4 linked regions of the Schizosaccharomyces pombe genome follow. The gene in region 1 interacts genetically with each later gene. Each region holds a gene or a part of one and is shown in the gene's direction. Other genes may lie near its edges.

Region 1 (5,871 bases):
ACGTTTATATTTGGTTAAACTATTGCTTATTTGAAGAGATAGATGTGAAGGACGTTGACCGCGCAAGAAAGGTTTACCAAGAAGCTCTCAAGCTTATACCCCATAAAAAATTTACATTTGCCAAATTATGGCTCATGTATGCAATGTTTGAGCTTAGGCAACGTAAGATTGATGTTGCTAGAAAAACGTTGGGTCGTGCGTTGGGAATGTGTCCAAAACCAAAATTATTCCGAGGTTATATTGAATTCGAAGACGCAATTAAGCAGTTTGACAGGTGTCGAATTCTTTATGAAAAATGGATTCTTTATGATCCCGAGGCTTGTGCTCCCTGGCTTGGTTACGCTGCCTTAGAGACTAAGCTTGGAGATAGTGATCGTGCTCGCGCTTTATATAATTTGGCTGTAAACCAGCCTATTTTGGAAACCCCAGAGCTTGTGTGGAAGGCTTATATTGATTTTGAATTCGAGGAAATGGAATACGGAAAAGCTAGAAGTATTTACCAGCAGTTACTACGGACTGCACCTCATGTTAAAGTTTGGATTAGTTTTGCAAACTTTGAAATTGCCCATCTGGAGGACGATGACGAAGAACCACCGAATGAAGAAGTGGCTTCTCCAACCGCTGTTGTGCGTGCGCGAAATGTTTTTGAAAATGCATTGGCCCATTTACGCCAGCAGGGTTTGAAGGAAGAGCGAGTTGTATTACTTGAAGCATGGAAACAATTTGAGGCAATGCATGGCACGGAAGATACACGTAAGCATGTCTCTTCACTAATGCCACAGGTTGTTAAGAAACGCCGTAGACTTGAAGACGGTTCATTCGAAGAATATTTGGACTATCTGTTTCCGGATACGGCGACTGATCAAGGAGATAAGATGCGCAAAATGCTCGAACTTTCGCGAAAATGGAAAGAGGAAATGGCTAAAAAGAAGCTGGAGGCCTAGATTACATATGACATTTATTGGCGCTATCAGTTTAATATTTAGTAATCGTGTAAAATATTAGTAATTAATTGTTTACGAGGCAATGGGTCATGTAAATGGACGTTGTTACGAAGTTGAGGATATTCAGCGCTTTGGACTGTTCGGATAATAATAAAATAACTGTTTTTGCATTTGAAAGGCCGGAATGGCGCGTAGAAATAAGACAAGCAATCCATATTAGTATTATTAACCTTGAGTTTCGATCTGAGTTTACTTACTAAGCAAGATAAGCGAAAAATTTATGGATATTATGTTGAGGGAATCACACTTGTAGAAATGAGAAAGTTGTAAACATGACAATTTTGAAGAATCCAACGCAATTCGTAAATAACACATTAAAATACAATAAAATGAAAAATCCAATCCAAAATATATTTAATATGTACATATTTATATTTATAAATTGATTGTTCTTTACCTTGCCCCATTGACATACGATCGAGTATCTACCAGTGCGACTAATTTTAGTTTTGTTACTCAAAGTGGCAGGACTCACAGGTAAAGAAGCGGCTGGTTTGGAGTTGTGCTGATCTGATGAACTTGTCAATCAAATGAGATTACAAAATCTGACATTGGTTATTTTCAGCACTGACAGCTTATTCGGACCGGTTTACCCAAATGTTCTGCTAAAGTGAATTTACAGAATACAAAAATCGGCTTATGCGACCAACGTATTAGGCAACATTTTGACTTAAAAGAAAAAATTCATACACAGATTCTGCTAAAAACTTAAAGACACAAAGATGTTCGTATGAATAAAAAATGACTGACTATAGTGAAAGAAATACCAACTGTTGCTAGTTAAAGTTGCAGCAAGTTTTTTGAGTTATTGTTGCCGAGATGTCGATCTCTTCAAAGGTAACATCCAGCATCAAAGATCGCCGAGAGTTCCCAACCATTATAGCCAGTAACAACCCAGCATACTTTGCGTTATGGTGCCTTAAAGGTACGTTCACTGACGATCGTTTTCAAACTCGGTTGACACTCGGGTGAAATGAAGTTGCCTTCTGTCAACTGCCACTTCCAAGAATCTGAATAAGAGAACGAGGATCCGGGAAATTTTCGTAAAAAGAATTCATTCAATTAAAATTAAGGGACTTGCAAAAACTATTTACTGTGGTTTTTAAGCTAAATCCTTGCGATTATAAGAAAACACTTATTCTTTGTTTATCAACAAGGCTGATTTAGCTTCACCACCGTTTTCCTTTTCCAAATCCTAACATTTTTCTTCGAACTTTACTTTTTTAATTGATGCAAATCATCTTGTGCTATTCTCTCTTCTCTTACTCTTGTCAGCTGTGATTTGATTTTCCACTAATCTTGTCTAAAAAGGTACTGAGCATATCCTTTATTTTTATTTTCAAGGTTATTGTGGTTTTCATCAAACTATTCTTATTCATTCTCTCTTTGTATCTTCGTTAATCTCGGGTTTTTTTTGTTTGCCACTTCTCTCTTTCTTTAGCCTCGTGATTTTAGCAGACCCCGGGTTACAACTTTTTCGTTGTTATACTTCCTATTGTTGAACTTACTTGATCTGTGTCGCTTCTCGGCTAAAAAAGTGCCCTTGCTCCTTACTTCCTTTTTCTTTTAGTATTTTTTTTGCTCCTTTATCAGTTCTTGACTTCAAGCTTGAGCTAACCGTAGTCCCTTTTACGTTTACTCGTTTTGAAGAATAATTGGTGTAGATTGCTTAAAAGGATTTCAAATTCGGCGGGACTTAAAATCTGCGAAAACAGTAATTTTTATTTTTTTTCGTTTTCGTGATTTTGGGGCACTACTTATTCTTCCTGCTATCGGCGTTTGTTCTTGGTTTTTCTCTTCGGTTATTGCGTTTACACACAGCAGTTTTGAAAATTATTGAGTAAAATTTTGGTATTCGAAAACTGCTTGTCTTTAACTAAAAAAAATATTATCACATCGTTCGTTTTACGCCAATCTTTGCGTTTGCCAGTAATTTATACTGCAGCAATTGTCTTTAAAAAACTTTATACGTGTTAAATATATTATTAAAGAAAGATGAGGGAATCGAACGTTAGCATCGTATGGAATAACAAAGCTTCTGTCACTATCAATACAGTCCTTTATGATCGACGTGCGCTTGACTGTGACTCCGAAATGTCATTAATGAATTCATTAAGCCATCTCGTTTATTTGACTTCGACTTCACCGAAAATTCGTGAGATCCTTACTATGGATGGTGGTTTGATGCGTTTAATGAATATTTTACGTGCCGGACGTGGACAAACATTTGCCCGAATGACAATATGGCAGCTAGCTCTTCAGTGTGTCGTAAATGTTGGGATACGTGGGTCTGAAGCTATTCGAATTCGTGTTGTGGAAGCTGGTATCGTTCCTATTGTTGTCACCCTTTTAGATGATTTTTTGTTTGCGCTTGAGTCCGTTGTTTCTCACCATTCTCGATTTCAATTTTCCCTTACACCTTCTACTACCCCTCCTCCATCATCCGCATCTGCTCCATTCCCCATTAATTCTAATATTAGCAATTCTCTTGATTCTGTGTCTCAACACAATTCATCTGCTGACTCTTTGTTCGTCAACGGTGATGTACCATCTCCATTTGGAGCTAGTACGGCAAGCTCTAGCTCTAGAAGAGTTTATTCGGTGGATTTACGGGATAGTGGAGATGTCCAACTTCCAAATCAATCTACGTTTCGACATTCCGTGAATCGTGATTTATTGGGATCAAGCTCTACCACTAGTCATGATCGATCCTCCGGCTCCATTTATTCAAATGATTCATTTCAAGATCCTCGTGTTCAAGCAAACTCTCCATTAACCATTCAAAGAATTTCATCAGCTGCACCCTCTACTCCTACTTCTACTGAAAATGTTAATTATAACATGACTACCCCTTCTTCTCCTTCATACTCTCGTCAAACAGGCCCTGCTAGTGAGACAATTAATGACGAGATAGACTCTCCAAATTTTTTCTTTCCAACTCCGCTTAATATTATGACTACTACTCAGGATTCATCACGGGATGTGCAATTGTCTTTAAATAATGTTCAATCACAGGCCTTGAATAATCGTCAGCGTCGTAATCAACTTTTACCTGGTGTTCCTTCTACATCTGCGTTATTAGATGGCCGCAGGCCCGAAAATGTAGTTGATTATCACGGGATTGCCTCATTCTTTGACAACTTTGATAAGAAGATTAATAAACTCCCTCGTGAAGAAGATATACTTTTTGGTTTGCAAATTCTTGCTTATACTAGTAAAAACTATTTCCATATGCGTCCTTACTTCGAGTCTTCTAAAGATGTTCCAAGTTTACGTATGTCGCCCTTACGTAGCGGCAGTAAAACGTGGAATATTTTTCAGTTAGTCGAGCAGTTCACCTTGAAATTCTACCCCCCACAAGTTCAATACTGGGCCAGAGCTATCATGAATAATTACTGTCGGAAAGATGAAAGTCATGGTGGTATACGTCGATGCGCCAATTTGTTATGTAACAAATGGGAAGAGCACAGTCGTCAATTTGCTAAATGCAGAAGATGCCGACGTACAAAATATTGCAGTAAAGAATGCCAGCATCAAGCATGGCCGGGACATAGTCGATGGTGTCGCGTAATTCATAAAGATGGCAGGAATTCCAAACGAGAGAGCTCAAAAATAAACTCAGTCACTGAAAGCGAATCAACAGCATCCCCGGCTGCATCTGTTATTCCTGTTGGAACAGAATCTGTAACTTCAAGCACTCAGAGTGATAGCAGATTGTAGTACTAATGACAGTTTAATGACAATTTCTATCCATTTCTTACTAGGTATGCTTACGCTTCAAATAGACTTACAGTTGGAGGTCACACATATTCTTTTAATCATTTTTCCGGCATTCAATACTACGTTTTGAATTCATTCCTTAATTCCCTTTGCCATCAATTATTATTTCATGTGCCGTGAAGAATATGAATTTCAGCTAACTCTTTACTCGCAATTAAGTTAATCGTTTAACCTTTTTTTATGCAATTAATTGCCGATACATTCAGATTTGTTCTTCTTATTATGGATATCGTGTGGTTTTAGCAGGGCAATAATCATGAAAGCTTTTGAAACCTACAGGGAGGTACGAAGGTGTGGAGGCCACTGTCCTAATTTATTAAAACTTCGAGTTTCTTTTCCGACTGTCCTTCTGTTGCTTATCGTTTTTTCTCGTAACTTAAATGCTTTTACTTAAAATAATAAACTTTTTTCTTTTCAACTTGTTTTTGTTTGACTTGGTTACTTATTAATAAATTAGTCAAAAATTATACATAGCTTTTTCGGAATAGTTAAACCTATGAACAGGGCTAAAGCAATACGATGTGATATTGCATGAAGGCTAAAGCTTTTTGTACTTGTATACCTGGAAGTCAAGAAATAGATCGTACTAATGATGCTTTCGCTAAATTGACTAAACGAAAGTATTATTTCAAGTTATCTTGTCTGTTGACGCTAATATTTATAGAACATTTAGGAGGAATCAATATTATAATGAATTCAGTATTTCTCTATTAGTAGAACAGACTTTGTAATTTGCTTATTACTATAAAATTAAACCAACTCACTTGCAAATAGTGAACTGGAAGAAGTACCGTAGTTTAAGCATAACCATTATACAGTTGAGACAGCAATAAATTGAAGGCTGCTGTATTCAGTGCACTTGTGCTGCATTAAATTGATCTTTAAACCTATTTTTATCTTTGGTTTTCGAAATGCTGCCCCAAGATGACATGACTGATGAAATGAAATCATTGGCAAGCCGTTTAGAAGACACCACTCAGGCTTTTTATGACTTGGCATTGATCGTTTATAACCTTGAAGATACTACTCCATCTGATGCCATTCCTGAAAGCCTTGATACTCTTATCAGAGATCTCAAATCTCTTCC
Region 2 (4,506 bases), on another chromosome or scaffold:
AAACAGAATAATATCTATTTAAAAAAAAAAAAAAAATTATAAGACATACCCTTTCGATCGTCCGCTAATCTTGTCTCGAACAATTTGAGCATCGCGAACAGGACCAGCTTGTTCGAAAAAATCATATAATTCCCTAGAAGTCAAACGATTTGCGAGTTGAGAAACGAACACAGTACGGCGATCACGCTCTTCCTCTGAAAGTTTAGAGGAGCGTTCACGAGGACGGGAACGACTTCTCTTACGCTCATGTGAACGGTCATCATCCCTCAAGTCCTCATAATCATAATCATGGGCTCTAGAAGAACGAGAGGAGCGTTCTTCATAGCGGCGACGACTACGACTATGCCGCGAAGAGTAAGGAGGGCTGCGTGAATAATCATCGTATCGATGGCGACTACGACTTGAGGGATGGCGGCTTCGACTTGACCTTGAACTGCGATCGCGATCGCGAGAACGAACGGGTGATCTACTTTGATGAGAATCTACAGAAGAGTGAGGAGAGGGAGAGCGACTACCATAATCGGACCTTGGACTATATGATCTCCTATGGTGTCTTGGGGTGCGATGACTTGAGGAATTTGTAACTACATCATCGTTATAACCGCTATCCTCTCGTTGAAAAGATTGTTTGGAAGATCTGGCGTACCGATAACCCATTGAAACGGGAGGAGGAGTTAGACGACCTTCACTTTCGTAATTTTTAGACACGGGTTTGAAAGAGCGATCATGCAACCGTGTAGGCGGTGGAGGAGGGTTAGAGGGATGACTATGAGTGGAAGAGGTGAGTGAGGATTCATGAAAAGAAGAAGATGCCTTTTGCTGATTTTCTTGATTTTGCGGCTAGGAAAAGGGTTAGTAAAAACAATAAACACGGGAAGACAAAAAAACAAAGGGAAAAGGCGGGAAGGAAGGAAAAAAATTGTAAACGTACCACTTCTTGCTTACGAAAAGGAGCCTCAGCCAAGGCTTCCGCGTCCAGCTGCATTTAGATTAGATCTGTTTATCTATGCGTGGAAAATACGTTCGTTTATTTTCGTTTTCAATACAACAAACTCTGACAGGATCGGAACAGACTTCGACTGGAAAACTAAGTAAGCTAGTAAAAATGGAGTTTTGTCAGTCTAGTAGCTTTCGTCGCTTCTAACACGAATTGTTTTGTTAAAAAATATTAATAATGAGTACTCTTTTGAGCTATTTTGTCCTCTTTCTTTCGGTGGAAAAAAAAGTGGAATATTCTACTGCCTAAGCGATAAAAGATGAGAGAAATTTTAGTACAAACAAAAAAGAAAGCGAGGAATAGCGGAATAAGGAAATTCCAAGCTAAAAACAATTACCGACAATAAGAAGCAAAGAAACGGAAAGGAAGGAAAACAAAATTATACCTAACCAAACCAACGAAAAGTAAATCACGAAAAGTTAATAAATTTCGATCAACTTAAGGTTTTCTCTTTTCAAGTATTTTTTCGCAAATAATAATTTTTAGTCTACTATGAATAAATCAATGAATTGTATCTGTAAAGCACTTCACTCGTCTGTTCTTTCCCTGTGTATAGGCCCTTGAGTGCAATTTTCTGGTGTTCAGTTTCGGAACCCGTTTTGCGATACGGTAAATATTGTTTTCCGTTGTCTTACCATTTTTCGGAAAAGTCGATCAAAAATAGCACGATTTTTTGGTTCGCCCCGCAATGCCTTTTTGCCCTTTCCTGCGACATATATAGGCTACTGCATCCACGCCACAACATCGTGCCATTAACGCAACACAAACAAAGAACTGACATTTTGATCAATTGGACAAAAATCCAAGTAAAGAATCATAGGATCAGTTGCTACGTTGTAATATTTACTGTATTTGTTTATCAAACTCATCAGAAACACGCTTGCTACAGTTTTATCACGAATTAACAATTCATACTCCCATCTCCAAAATGGCCTCTGTTACTAGTGAAAAGTGTGTTATCCTTTCTGACGGCACTGAATACGATGGTAAGTATTTAAACAAGGAGAAATGGCAGGGTGTTTGGGTTTTGAGAAGGAGATTTGGTTGAAGGACTAAAATTTTTTCTCGGCAACAGAGTGTTTGAGAGGCAATGTATAAAAAACAATGAAAACGCATATAGCAAAGGCTTATTGGCAAAAGATCCATTGTGGGAGATGTGCCATTTCTTATCTTTTTTCTTTGTTCGTTGTGCTTTTAACTTTTTTTCACCTTTCCCCCTTTGCCTTAGTTACACCAAAATACATGTATCGTTCTTTATACTAACATTCCATTAGTCACCAACTACTTGGTTGCCAACAAGGACGCTGCTGACTTGCTTCGTCGCTATCACCGCCAAGAGGTTGCTGATATCCTTAATGCTACCTCCAAGTCCAAGCACTCTGAAGCTGTTGTTGAGATCTTGAAAAGTGCTAAGGTTCCTTTGAAGAATAAGGAATTCAGTGATCTTGTCGACCAGAACATTGGTGTCGGTTATGGCAATGAATTCATTGTCAAGCCTACCGATCTTGACAAGGATTTCGAGAAGAACCATTTCCTTGACCTCAAGAAGCCTTTATTGCCCCAAATTTTGTTTGGTAACATCAAGAAGGATGTTTATTTGGACCAAGTTCACCGTCCCCGTCATTACCGTGGCAGCGGTTCTGCTCCTTTGTTTGGAAACTTTTTGGAGCCTCTTACCAAGACCCCTTGGTATATGATTCCATTGATTTGGGTTCCCTGTGTCACTTATGGATTCTTGTACGCCTGTACCGGAATTCCCTTCTCTGTTGCTATCACCTTCTTCATCATTGGATTATTCACCTGGACTTTGGTTGAATATACTATGCATCGTTTCCTCTTCCACTTGGATGAGTACACCCCTGATCATCCTATTTTCTTGACTATGCACTTCGCATTCCACGGTTGCCACCACTTCTTACCTGCTGACAAGTACCGTCTTGTAATGCCTCCTGCTTTGTTCCTTATCTTTGCCACTCCCTGGTATCACTTTATTCAACTTGTTCTTCCTCACTACATTGGTGTTGCTGGTTTCTCTGGTGCCATTCTTGGTTACGTTTTCTACGATCTTACCCACTATTTCTTACATCACCGTCGTATGCCCAATGCTTACTTGACTGATTTGAAGACCTGGCATTTGGACCATCACTACAAGGATTACAAGTCTGCCTATGGTATCACCAGCTGGTTTTGGGACCGTGTTTTTGGAACTGAGGGACCTCTTTTCAACGAACAGGGAAAGATCAGCACTAAGGCTAAGTAGATTGTGATTGCGTTTGAATCATTTAGCTGCTAAATTGCTTTCAAGGTGTTAAAAGTTTCTTTGGTCCTTTTTAACTATCAATAATTTTGTGTGCTATATAAATCTTGTTGTATTTTTCTTTTCTTTTTTAATTGCTTTCCAAATTTTTTCTCCTCTCTTTACCCTTGAAATCACTAAGCAATTTTCCCCCATTTTCTCTCTGACTTTAACTAGGCCTTATTATAGTGCCTTAAAGCTGTGTATTATATTTGAATTGCAGAAACATCAAATTTGATTTAATTTGATTGATCCACTCGCTAAAGCATCTTGTATCCCACATTGAAATTGTCTTGTCTTTCTTCTTTTCTATTAATACTATTTTCTGGTTTCTTTTGAACAAGTTTTCAAACTTTACCTTGTTAAGTCGAACTTAATAATATTATCTTGACTATCGGCTATATAATTTGAGTCTAAGGTTGCTATTTTATTTTTCCTTTTATCTGTCTTTTAAATATAATTCGAATTTTTAATTGTTTTTACCACCCCATCTGTTTGTAGTGCGAAATGATTTTCTTGTAGAAGCATCTCCATATCATAAGAGCGCTGAATAGTTTTTGTTGACCAAATATGCAACGCCGAGACGAAAAATTTAGGAAGAAGATGAATAGAGATATCCACAATATATATGTTTTAACTATATTTAAGGGTCATTTTACATTTGTTTATAAAATGTAAAAAAATTTATTAAAAAGATCGTAATGAAAGGTGTGGGACTCGAACCCACGAGCTTTCGCACTAGTGCCTTAAACTAGCTCCATAACCACTCGGACAACCTTCCTTTTTTGAGTATTAGGGTAACTTAAATCATCATATAGGATTTCACTAATAAATTTTTATTTTAAAAATTTGTTTTCTTGTGAATAAAAGTGTAGCAATTTACTGATTATTTAACCAGAAAATAGATTTTAGACAAAATCTATAAAAATATTTGTTAACAGAAACTAGCTTGTGGGGAATGCGTTTAGAATTCCTCAATTACAAGTTGCAGGTAAATTTACCCTAGTGTTTGTTAAGCGGACGTCGAGTTATTAACCATTACTATTGACGTTGGTTAACATGAATAAGCTTGAATTATTGCCAAGTCATTTTCCTGACACTTTCAGATTTGTTTATTTGTTTTTTTCTCAACCTCTGACATTTAGATGCATAATACATGTCAAAGACTTCTTAAATGATTACGATCATCATGCCTTGAAGGAGTTTCCTCAAT
Region 3 (4,674 bases), 3.5 Mb from region 1:
ATCAACTATTTCCGAAAACAGCAGCGTTTTCATCAAGCTTCCTTCAGACAATGTTCGTTTTGTAACATTGAAACCAAACAAGTAAGTATGAGGATCTTAATTTACAATTTAAAGTACATTTTCAATGATAGCAATTGAAATTGTTTTTTGCATAAGGAGATAGAGGTGATCTAGTTTATCTCGTTCATATTGATCTTACTGACTTTATATTAAATAGTACAATTCACCTCGGAAAATTTGGTTCATTTCTCGCTGATGATTTGTTTGGAAAGCATTTTGACGAAACTTTTGAAATTTATCAACCCAAAAAAATTCGAGTTTTAAAAACAAGGGAGGTACAGTATATCGAGGAAGAAAAGAAAACGAATCAAGAACTTAATGATTGTCGAGGCAATCAGCTTATGACTCAAGAGGAGATTGATGAACTGCGCGCAAACATTAAAGCTGGTGGACTTCGTGCTGAAGAGGCCATCAAACAGTTGACTAATAGTAGTAAAACTTTTGAGCAAAAAACTTTATTTGCTCAGGAGAAATATGTTACGAGAAAAGGGGAAAAGTATCTTCAACGCTTTCAGGTTTTACGACCTTGTGTTGAAGTTGTGGCTAATTACATGATTGAACATGATCCGTATAAGATACTTGATCTTACTGCCGAGTGTATAAGCTTGATGCTTACTCTTGGAAATGTTAAACCTGGGGGTAGATATTTGGTAGTTGATGAGACTGGATGCATGTTCCTTGGTTCTCTTATTGACCGTGTTGCTGGTGATTGCAAAATAACCCTGGTCCATCCAAATGAGCAACCTAATAGCTCTTGTTTAGAGTATTGGGGGCAAGACTTTAAAGAGGATAGTTTGGTTCAAAAAGGGATTTTGAAAACTTTGAATTGGTATCAAGTTACGAATCCAACCGAGACTTTAAGTGAGTATTCGGTTGAAGATATTCCTGAATCAGAGTTGAATGAGATGAAACTTCGCCACCGTAAGCGCTATGAAACGAAGAAAGCTACATTTAACCGTTTGAAGAATACTATTGATGATTTTGAAAGTGGTAACTATGATGCTCTCTTTATACTATCTATTCACACCCCAATGTCTGTTCTTCAACATCTTCTTCCAAAGCTCGGTATATCACGTCCTTTCATGGTATACTCAACATATCAGCAAGTCTTAGTCGAGACGTATCATCAATTATCTAAATGGGATAACTTATTTGTAGAAAAGACAGCTCAAAGTACTGAAAATGACGAAAAGGTTGATCAAGGAGACGTTGCTATTGATACACAGAAAGAGAAAGTCATCATGCTGGATATTCATGAGATTCGTACACGACCTTACCAAGTCTTGCCAGAAAGGACTCATCCATTCATGACTGTTAGGGGTGATATGGGTTTCGTTTTATCTGGGATCAAGGTGTTAACTTCTGACAGCAATCTAGCTGCCGGAAGGTTTCCAAAACGTAAGGGCCAGAAAGAAACTTCTTCTGTCAAAAAAGCAAAATTGGAAAATTAGATATGAAATATTACTTTTGGAATATTTTTTTCAAGGCTACTCTATTAGATCAACAAGGGGAGTTACAATTTTGGACATAAACTCAGTTACGTTGAATTGGGAAAAGGTTTTTGTTATATTAAAAAGTTTTTTGTTTCATTCTTTAACTTAAAATTTTCATACGTATCAGAAAATGAATATGTTAGTTGGATAATGTAATTGACGGTGCGGTTTCAGGTTAACTCAATTTTGAAGAGCGTTAAAGTACAGTGTCTTTTGCTTGGCATTTTCATTCTTTTTAAAAATAGATTACTTGTAATAAGTATAAAATTAGTTACAATTTGACTGCTGCACATATACGTATTTAAGTAAAATAAGTAGTACATGGTCAGAGCAGCTGTGGATAGCCTTTTTGATCTTAAGCATGTTAATTTTAAATAAATATAAAAACTGATGAAAAAACAGCTTATAAATGACAATGTCGCATTTTGGTCTTATTTACTCGGTATAATGAACCCCATACTAGCGCTATCGCCAAGTTCGTTAATTTCGAAAGGACACCTAACCACGCTCCTTTCACCACTAAGCTTTACTTCGTCGAGTTTATAACCAATGACTGAATTTATTGGTTCTCGTATTAGTCTAATTAGCAAATCTGACATTCGGTACGTGAGAGCATTATCTTTCCTTTACTAATATTTAGTTATGTGGGCATTTTGCAGGACATCAATTCCCAGGACTCAACACTGGCTTTGAAGCATGGTAGGTTGAGTACCCAGCATTGATTACTAACAGTTTAGTCCGTTGGTGTGGTACTGAAGGAAGAAAACAAGATCCCTCTCAAGAAATCCCCCCATCAGATAATGTATTTGATTACATTGTTTTTCGTGGAAGCGATGTTAAAGATTTACGGATTGAGGAACCTGCTACTACTCCTTCTGCTCCCCCGGTTCAACCTCCTAATGATCCTGCAATTATTGGGGTATGTTACGTCTAAAGAGTGGTGGAGATTCTCATTAGTATATCTAGTATTAATTATCTTTGGCACTCTTTATATATCTGACAAGATCATGATTTTAACTATAATTAGTCTAATAGCGGGCAGTATAATTGGAACCAAGCGCAGACTGCCCAACCTCCTCAGCCTGTTCAACCTAACCCTTATGGAGCTCCATACCAACAGGCTCCTCCAGCAGGTGCACCTTACTATATGTACCCGAATGCTCCCGCTCAATTTGTACCTCCTGGAGGTTTGCCTTTGGGTACTCCCTTAGACGCATCCACACCTGCGGTCCCGTATTATGGGGCACCTGATCAACAGCAAATGGGTCAACGTCCTGAGTTTGCTCAAAATGTTTCTCAAGGGTTTGCCGGTCAGGCCCCGTACAACGTACGTCCTGGATACGGAATGCCTTCAAACCAGAAGCCTCCCAACTTTGCTCCGGGCATGCCTGCTCCTGGTCCTACCGCGGTATCTGCATCTCCGTCTCTTCAATCCATGCCGCCCACGAATGGAGTGATACCAGGTGCACAGCCCTCCATTGAAGCATCTATTGAAAAAGAAAGTACTAGTATACGGAATTCCACTGTCACAAATGACCGTGTTGTGAATACTACTGTGGATGTCTCTCAATCCCAAACCGTTGAAACATCTGGACCTTCTAAAGAAGTTCCTACAACTCAACCTGATGCTAGTGCTGCAAAGCCTCGTACCGAATTTGACTTTCAAACTGCAAATCAAAAGTTTCAATCGATGAAAGATGATTTGTTAAAAGGAAAAAATGATGAAGAAGCCGAAGAATTTTACAAGCCTAAGCAATCTTTTTTTGATAATATTAGTTGTGAAAGTAAAGAGAAGGGTATGGAAGCTGCAGATAGAAGAGCTCTACGAGATCGCGAACGTTCTTTGAACATGGAGACATTTGGCGTTGCTGGCTCTGGAAATCGCGGCCGTCGTGGACGTGGTCGTGGACGTGGTGGTAGAGGTCGTGGACGTGGATATGCAAGAAATCAATATAACCAATACAGGAATTCCAATGGCTCTCAACCTAGAGCCCAGCCTGCAAACGACCAATGAACTGCATTTCTTATAATGAGTACAGATGAAGTATCCTCGTTTCTCTAGATTGAGCTTCGTCTTCGTTTCAATCATGATGAACTCAAAATTTATGGACATGTATTTAACGACCCGAAAAAAGGTGTTCTCTTATATAAACCAAAAGGATTAGTCGTTGTTATTTGATATTTAACTTAGGAGTTTTGTTAAGTTCTTGTAGAGTGCTTTAAAAACTATACTTATCTGCTCATGTATTACGCAAGAAGAACAAGCATTGAAACGATATCCTATACCGAGATTTCGTAAAGGTATTACGAATAAATGTTAATGGGTTACATATAATTACCAAAAGGTTGAAGACTTAACCAATCCGCTAATGTTTATTCTTTTATACACCTTGATAGACCCAAAGCATCGCTGGTTGCATGACTGAACATTGAACAACCCGTGTTTTTCAACAGTCGTTTCGTTTTTGAAAAGCGTTTTGTAAAAATTTGATTCAGTCGACTTGTTTGAAGCTGACAAACTATAGAATCCAAACAACAATGTTTGAGCAGTATGAACAATTTATAAGCGAATCGTTTTAAAAATAAAAATGTGCTCTCTTAATTTTAGCATTTTTTAATAGTTTAAATTTCACGAACTTAACTACGTGATATAGTGTTTTAATAATCAGCAGTAGAAAAATTAGAACTTAATATTATTTGATCATCAACGAATATCGGAACGCAAGAGTTAACACGTAAACGATACATTACAATTATGTTTTGTTATCAAAAGTAAATTGATCCAGCGATTGAAGCTAAACCAGAGAAAAACATAAATGCGCTTCGAAATAAGTTTTTAAAACCCCATCTGTGAATTATACTGCGGAAATTTTGAGTAGCCTTTACATCTTTAAGTATTAGATCTGGATTTAACGTTTGTAAAGAGTTAATGTCCTTTTTCATAAACAAAAGCGTGAAAGGAATAATACATAGTCCAGATAAAGCCGATATAGCATACAATTTTGAAGAGAATATACTTCTCTTCCGTTCCGAATAAGACAAATAGCCCTGAACCAGAGCATTGGCAATGGCTAAAAATGGGAAGCTCTTTTTGCCCATACTATATATGTATTTCCATTGA
Region 4 (4,649 bases), on another chromosome or scaffold:
AAACAAACGCTAATATGTGTTATGGATGTAATTGTGTAAGTTCGAACTTTAATTTAGCATGTCCATTTAACTAGCACTTCAAAATTTGGTTCCATCAGACTGAAGCTACTACCAAAAAAGAGTAATTTTTTTTATTATTTTAGAATTCTTTTAAAAGAAAATAAAATTAAAAAAATAATACACTAGAAATCGACATCGTTGACATATCCTAATATTGAGACTCCCAGTGATTGCCTTTAACTTAACCTCTCCACTCCCATCTCCATTTAAACAGAAATCGGAATCAGAGAAATGTCGTTCTTTGGCCTTAAAAGATATTCTACTCCTATTTTAAAACCTATGCTTCCTTTTTTTCTAGGGGGTATGTATATTTTTCAACGATTTGAATTATTATTAACATGTCTTGACAGGAGCCATCGTATTCTATGGTACTGTAAAGCTTCGTGATGCTATGATGGATTGTACGTTTTTAATAGAAATAGAACAATTTTTTAACTCTATGTAGCTGCGGAGTATCGCAATGATCCTAGAAACCCAAAGGCTGGAAAGTACGGAAGTGATCATTAAGTTGATGACGAGTTCATGTCTTTCACTTCCTAAAATGTTTCAGCCCTTTTGATGTGATTTAATGGAAGTCAATGAAATTACACTGCTTGTTTTTGTAGCAGTTACAATTGATCAAAAGTTCTGTAATCAATCGAATTTATTTGTAGGAGATCAATCATTTAAATTAAAGTATTAAATGTATATTTAAATATGAACTTTTCAAATAAACAGAAGGAAAAAATGAATTTCCATGCTTTTTAGGAATACATGTGTTGCACGAAATAAATATTCACTTTGACTGAAAAGTTATGTACTTAGTCGTCATTTAATTCGCTCATTTTGTAATCTTTTAATTTACCTAGATAATTTGATAATCCTCAGAAAAAGTACCTCAAACATATTGTTCCTATTTTGTGTTTCCAATTAAGCAGATCTTTGGGCACGGATTTCAAAAGCTGTAAAATAACGTATTACAGAAGGTTTAGTATACACTTCTATATTGAAGCTGGTATTGTATTCTCTAGAACTGAGGCTTTTACTAAAAATAAAGCAGTATTAGCATTTTTCGTTTTCAATACTACTTCGCCATGTAGGCGATCGTTTTTTGCATTCACTCCAAAAAAGAATCATCGGAAAAACTATTGAAAGAGAATAGCAGTTCAATATGATTCTGTAAGTAAAATCCTGAACGTTCATAGAAAATCATTTTGGATTTGTTTGCTTTGTTTACAAAACAAATCACTTTGAAGTGATTCTCTTTGAGGATATGAAAAAATATGCTAGAATTCCACATTCTTCATAATGTAAACAAAACATTATTGCTTTTTGTATCAATAAATTTAATCCAAACCTCTTTTCTTTCCACTAGAAAACCACATGTCATTCATATTTTGTACTTTTCGGAAGAAAGTCAGAACAAGCTCCCACTCAGGTACTTCATGCTACAATGTAATGCACAAACAATTGAAGGGTAAAATATCTGTTGGAGCAAATGATTCCGTGACATTTCAGCCACATCACAAACGGCTTACTTCGGAATAAACAAATATTATTCTAACGGAAAAGAAAAAAAAAAATCCGCGTTCAGTAGAAGTCACTGCAAAAATATGAACCAACAAATTTGAATTCGCTTTGCTTACTAAATTTATTAAGTCTCATGTAAAGAAACAATCAACATCCACAGCCTTAAGGCAATCATGGTACAAACATTAAATAAAATATTCCACTCTTTTAGAAACGAGCATCTTAAAAAATTAGTTGACGAGGGAAGTAAACAAAGACATTGAAGTATTGCTTAGTAAAATAAAAAATTAGTCACATTACATTGTATATATCATGTATTCAAAACATCCTTCTACTCCAAATATAGCTCGTTGCAGCGCTCTATTTGCCTTCCTCTTTGATTTCTGTGATGATGCGATTCTAACAACCACAGTCATCTCTGTGAATTAGAATCTTAGCAAAATGACGGTTGTTGACATTAAGATTGGTAATAAATATCGTATAGGTAGAAAAATTGGTTCTGGCTCCTTTGGTCAAATTTACCTGGGATTAAATACGGTAAATGGAGAACAAGTTGCTGTGAAATTGGAGCCTTTAAAGGCTCGTCATCATCAGTTAGAATATGAGTAAGTAGTGCTTTAATATTTTTTTACTTAAGTATAAGTTGGATTTCTTTCGGAACTCCAATTTCTTCTTTATATCTATCAACCGTAGCTCGATGTTTTACAACCAAAAAGGAAAAGCAAAAGTTACTCCATTTGGTTATTTTTCTTTTTTCTTTCTAACATTTAGGTTTCGTGTGTATAATATTCTTAAAGGAAATATTGGCATACCCACAATTCGCTGGTTCGGTGTAACCAATAGTTATAATGCTATGGTCATGGATTTATTAGGCCCTTCTCTGGAAGATTTATTCTGCTATTGTGGAAGAAAGTTTACTCTTAAAACGGTTCTTTTACTTGCTGATCAACTCATCAGTCGCATTGAATATGTTCACTCCAAGTCATTCTTACATCGAGACATTAAGCCTGATAATTTTTTAATGAAGAAGCACAGCAATGTTGTTACGATGATTGACTTCGGATTGGCGAAAAAATACAGGGATTTTAAAACTCATGTTCATATTCCATATCGAGATAATAAGAATCTTACGGGAACGGCTCGATATGCTAGTATTAACACCCATATTGGTATTGAACAATCTCGCCGTGATGACCTCGAATCGTTAGGTTATGTTTTACTTTATTTTTGTCGCGGCAGTTTGCCCTGGCAAGGCTTACAAGCTGATACAAAGGAGCAAAAGTATCAACGGATACGTGATACCAAGATTGGCACTCCTTTGGAAGTCCTTTGCAAAGGTCTTCCCGAAGAGTTTATCACTTACATGTGTTACACTCGTCAGCTTTCGTTTACCGAGAAGCCAAACTATGCTTATTTGAGAAAGCTGTTTCGTGATTTACTTATTCGTAAAGGATACCAGTATGACTATGTTTTTGACTGGATGATATTAAAATACGTAAGTTTTGAAAAGAAAATGATAAGGTGATACGTTAGTTTAACCTTAACAAATGATTGAAAATTCGATTGACTAACTATTATTAGCAAAAGCGAGCTGCTGCTGCTGCCGCCGCTTCTGCTACAGCACCTCCACAGGTTACATCTCCTATGGTGTCACAAACTCAACCGGTTAATCCCATTACTCCTAATTATTCATCCATTCCCTTACCTGCTGAGCGGAATCCAAAGACTCCACAATCTTTCTCCACTAATATTGTTCAATGTGCTTCTCCCTCACCTCTTCCTCTCTCCTTTCGTTCTCCTGTTCCCAACAAAGATTATGAATACATTCCATCTTCGTTGCAACCTCAATACAGTGCTCAACTGAGGCGTGTTTTAGATGAAGAACCAGCTCCTTGATTTTTTGACTTTACTTTTCATCAATTCCTCTCTTACACTACGTCTTTTAGTCTTAAATTCCAAACCATCTGTTGACGTTTTAAAGTTCCACAAATATCTTTAATAATTCCTGGCTTTCTTTTTTGTCTATGGATGGCCGGATTGCTACACTAATACACTTTGAGGTTTAGCTATTGTTTTGAGCTATTCCATTTTGCCTAGAAGTTGAGTTTTAATGCCTTCTTTTTAAATAGACATATTGTGTAAACCTCATACATGCTTTACTGAAAAGACATAATTAGAGGACAAAATTTAAATCGTGCTGTTTGTTTATATTCAGCTCGTTCCGGTCAAGTTCTTGCCAAAGAATTGAGTCAGTCGTGCTATTCATTTCTAAATTTCTTCTTCCCAGAATTTTATTTTATTGTTTTCGTTCCCCATTGGTTCTTACATTCCGTTTTTATTCAAAACTGAAAAGTTTGTACCTCCATTGCTAGAAGTAATATACACAAGGAGCATGTTTCTTTTTTTACACTATCATTTGCGTGGCTCTAAACCAGTCTTTATTGCCTACCTTTGCAATAAAAGATATAATATCAATTGCATAAGAAATAATTCATTAATAAATGATAAATTTCATCGATTAAATAGATCGCTATTTTTCACACTGTATTATGGGCAAGTAGCGTAAAAAATATTAGCTCTGTTGGAGTTGACCGCTGGATCATCAAGTTTTACATACTATTTAATTTCGGCTGTAGCAAAGAAAAATATCCATCGATTTGCCATATTATCATATCTATTGCTTTCTGTGGTATTTTAACCACCGGTATTTCACTTCTACAAATGTAAACAAAGCACGTTGATTTGTTTACATTACAGTTGCCCCAGTAACACATTATGGATCAGCACCACAAAGAAAAATCATTCAAAATTGATGCTCAAATTCAATATTCTACAGGCTCAAGAAGGGATCTATACTTATTTTTACTAAACCCATAACTATCATCTCTGTTTCGTCTGCGGTAAAAAAAAAATTGTTTAGATTAATGTAAAAACAGAGCAAAATGAGATTTGTCACTTAGTACAACAATGTGTTACCTCTACACGCAACTCCTGAGTTGCGTCGCATGTTATTTGATGAGCTGACTTTGCGCACAAAACCAATACATAACAAAGAGATCTTAGGATTTGGAAGTTGCGCT

The links.
Region 2: mutations in mub1 (region 1) and scs7 together harm fitness more than expected from each alone (negative genetic interaction), as found in Schizosaccharomyces pombe (2 studies listed by BioGRID).
Region 3: mutations in mub1 (region 1) and sum2 together harm fitness more than expected from each alone (negative genetic interaction), as found in Schizosaccharomyces pombe (2 studies listed by BioGRID).
Region 4: mutations in mub1 (region 1) and hhp2 together harm fitness more than expected from each alone (negative genetic interaction), as found in Schizosaccharomyces pombe (2 studies listed by BioGRID).

Annotation. Positions count from the first base shown.
Region 1 is NC_003423.3:3,766,106-3,771,976, reverse strand, and holds mub1 (armadillo-type fold protein, zf-MYND type zinc finger protein, Mub1-Rad6-Ubr2 ubiquitin ligase complex Mub1), read left to right. Parts: upstream 1-1,992; 5' UTR 1,993-2,999; coding exon 3,000-4,724; 3' UTR 4,725-5,371; downstream 5,372-5,871. Other genes in the region: protein Cwf4, read left to right, coding at 1-944; mediator complex subunit Med10, read left to right, coding at 5,696-5,871.
Region 2 is NC_003424.3:4,055,033-4,059,538, forward strand, and holds scs7 (ER sphingosine hydroxylase Scs7), read left to right. Parts: upstream 1-1,743; 5' UTR 1,744-1,925; coding exon 1,926-1,983; intron 1,984-2,003; exon of another isoform or gene 2,004-2,271; coding exon 2,272-3,257; 3' UTR 3,258-3,783; downstream 3,784-4,506. Other genes in the region: RNA-binding protein Rsd1, read right to left, coding at 50-840, 932-985. UniProt on the Schizosaccharomyces pombe protein: Ceramide hydroxylase involved in the hydroxylation of sphingolipid-associated very long chain fatty acids. Postulated to hydroxylate the very long chain fatty acid of dihydroceramides and phytoceramides at C-2.
Region 3 is NC_003423.3:265,388-270,061, forward strand, and holds sum2 (translation initiation inhibitor), read left to right. Parts: upstream 1-2,068; 5' UTR 2,069-2,102; coding exon 2,103-2,155; exon of another isoform or gene 2,156-2,193; coding exon 2,194-2,252; exon of another isoform or gene 2,253-2,290; coding exon 2,291-2,472; exon of another isoform or gene 2,473-2,580; coding exon 2,581-3,567; 3' UTR 3,568-4,021; downstream 4,022-4,674. Other genes in the region: trm6 (translation initiation factor eIF-3 gamma subunit Gcd10), read left to right, coding at 1-81, 218-1,511; SPOM_SPBC800.14C (uncharacterized protein), read right to left, coding at 4,320-4,674. UniProt on the Schizosaccharomyces pombe protein: Required for G2/M phase checkpoint control.
Region 4 is NC_003424.3:1,047,025-1,051,673, forward strand, and holds hhp2 (serine/threonine protein kinase (CK1 family) Hhp2), read left to right. Parts: upstream 1-1,973; 5' UTR 1,974-2,010; coding exon 2,011-2,174; intron 2,175-2,340; coding exon 2,341-3,064; intron 3,065-3,150; coding exon 3,151-3,465; 3' UTR 3,466-4,112; downstream 4,113-4,649. Other genes in the region: atp18 (F0-ATPase subunit J), read left to right, coding at 292-361, 411-461, 506-567. UniProt on the Schizosaccharomyces pombe protein: Involved in DNA repair. May regulate the activity of protein(s) involved in double strand break repair caused by gamma rays.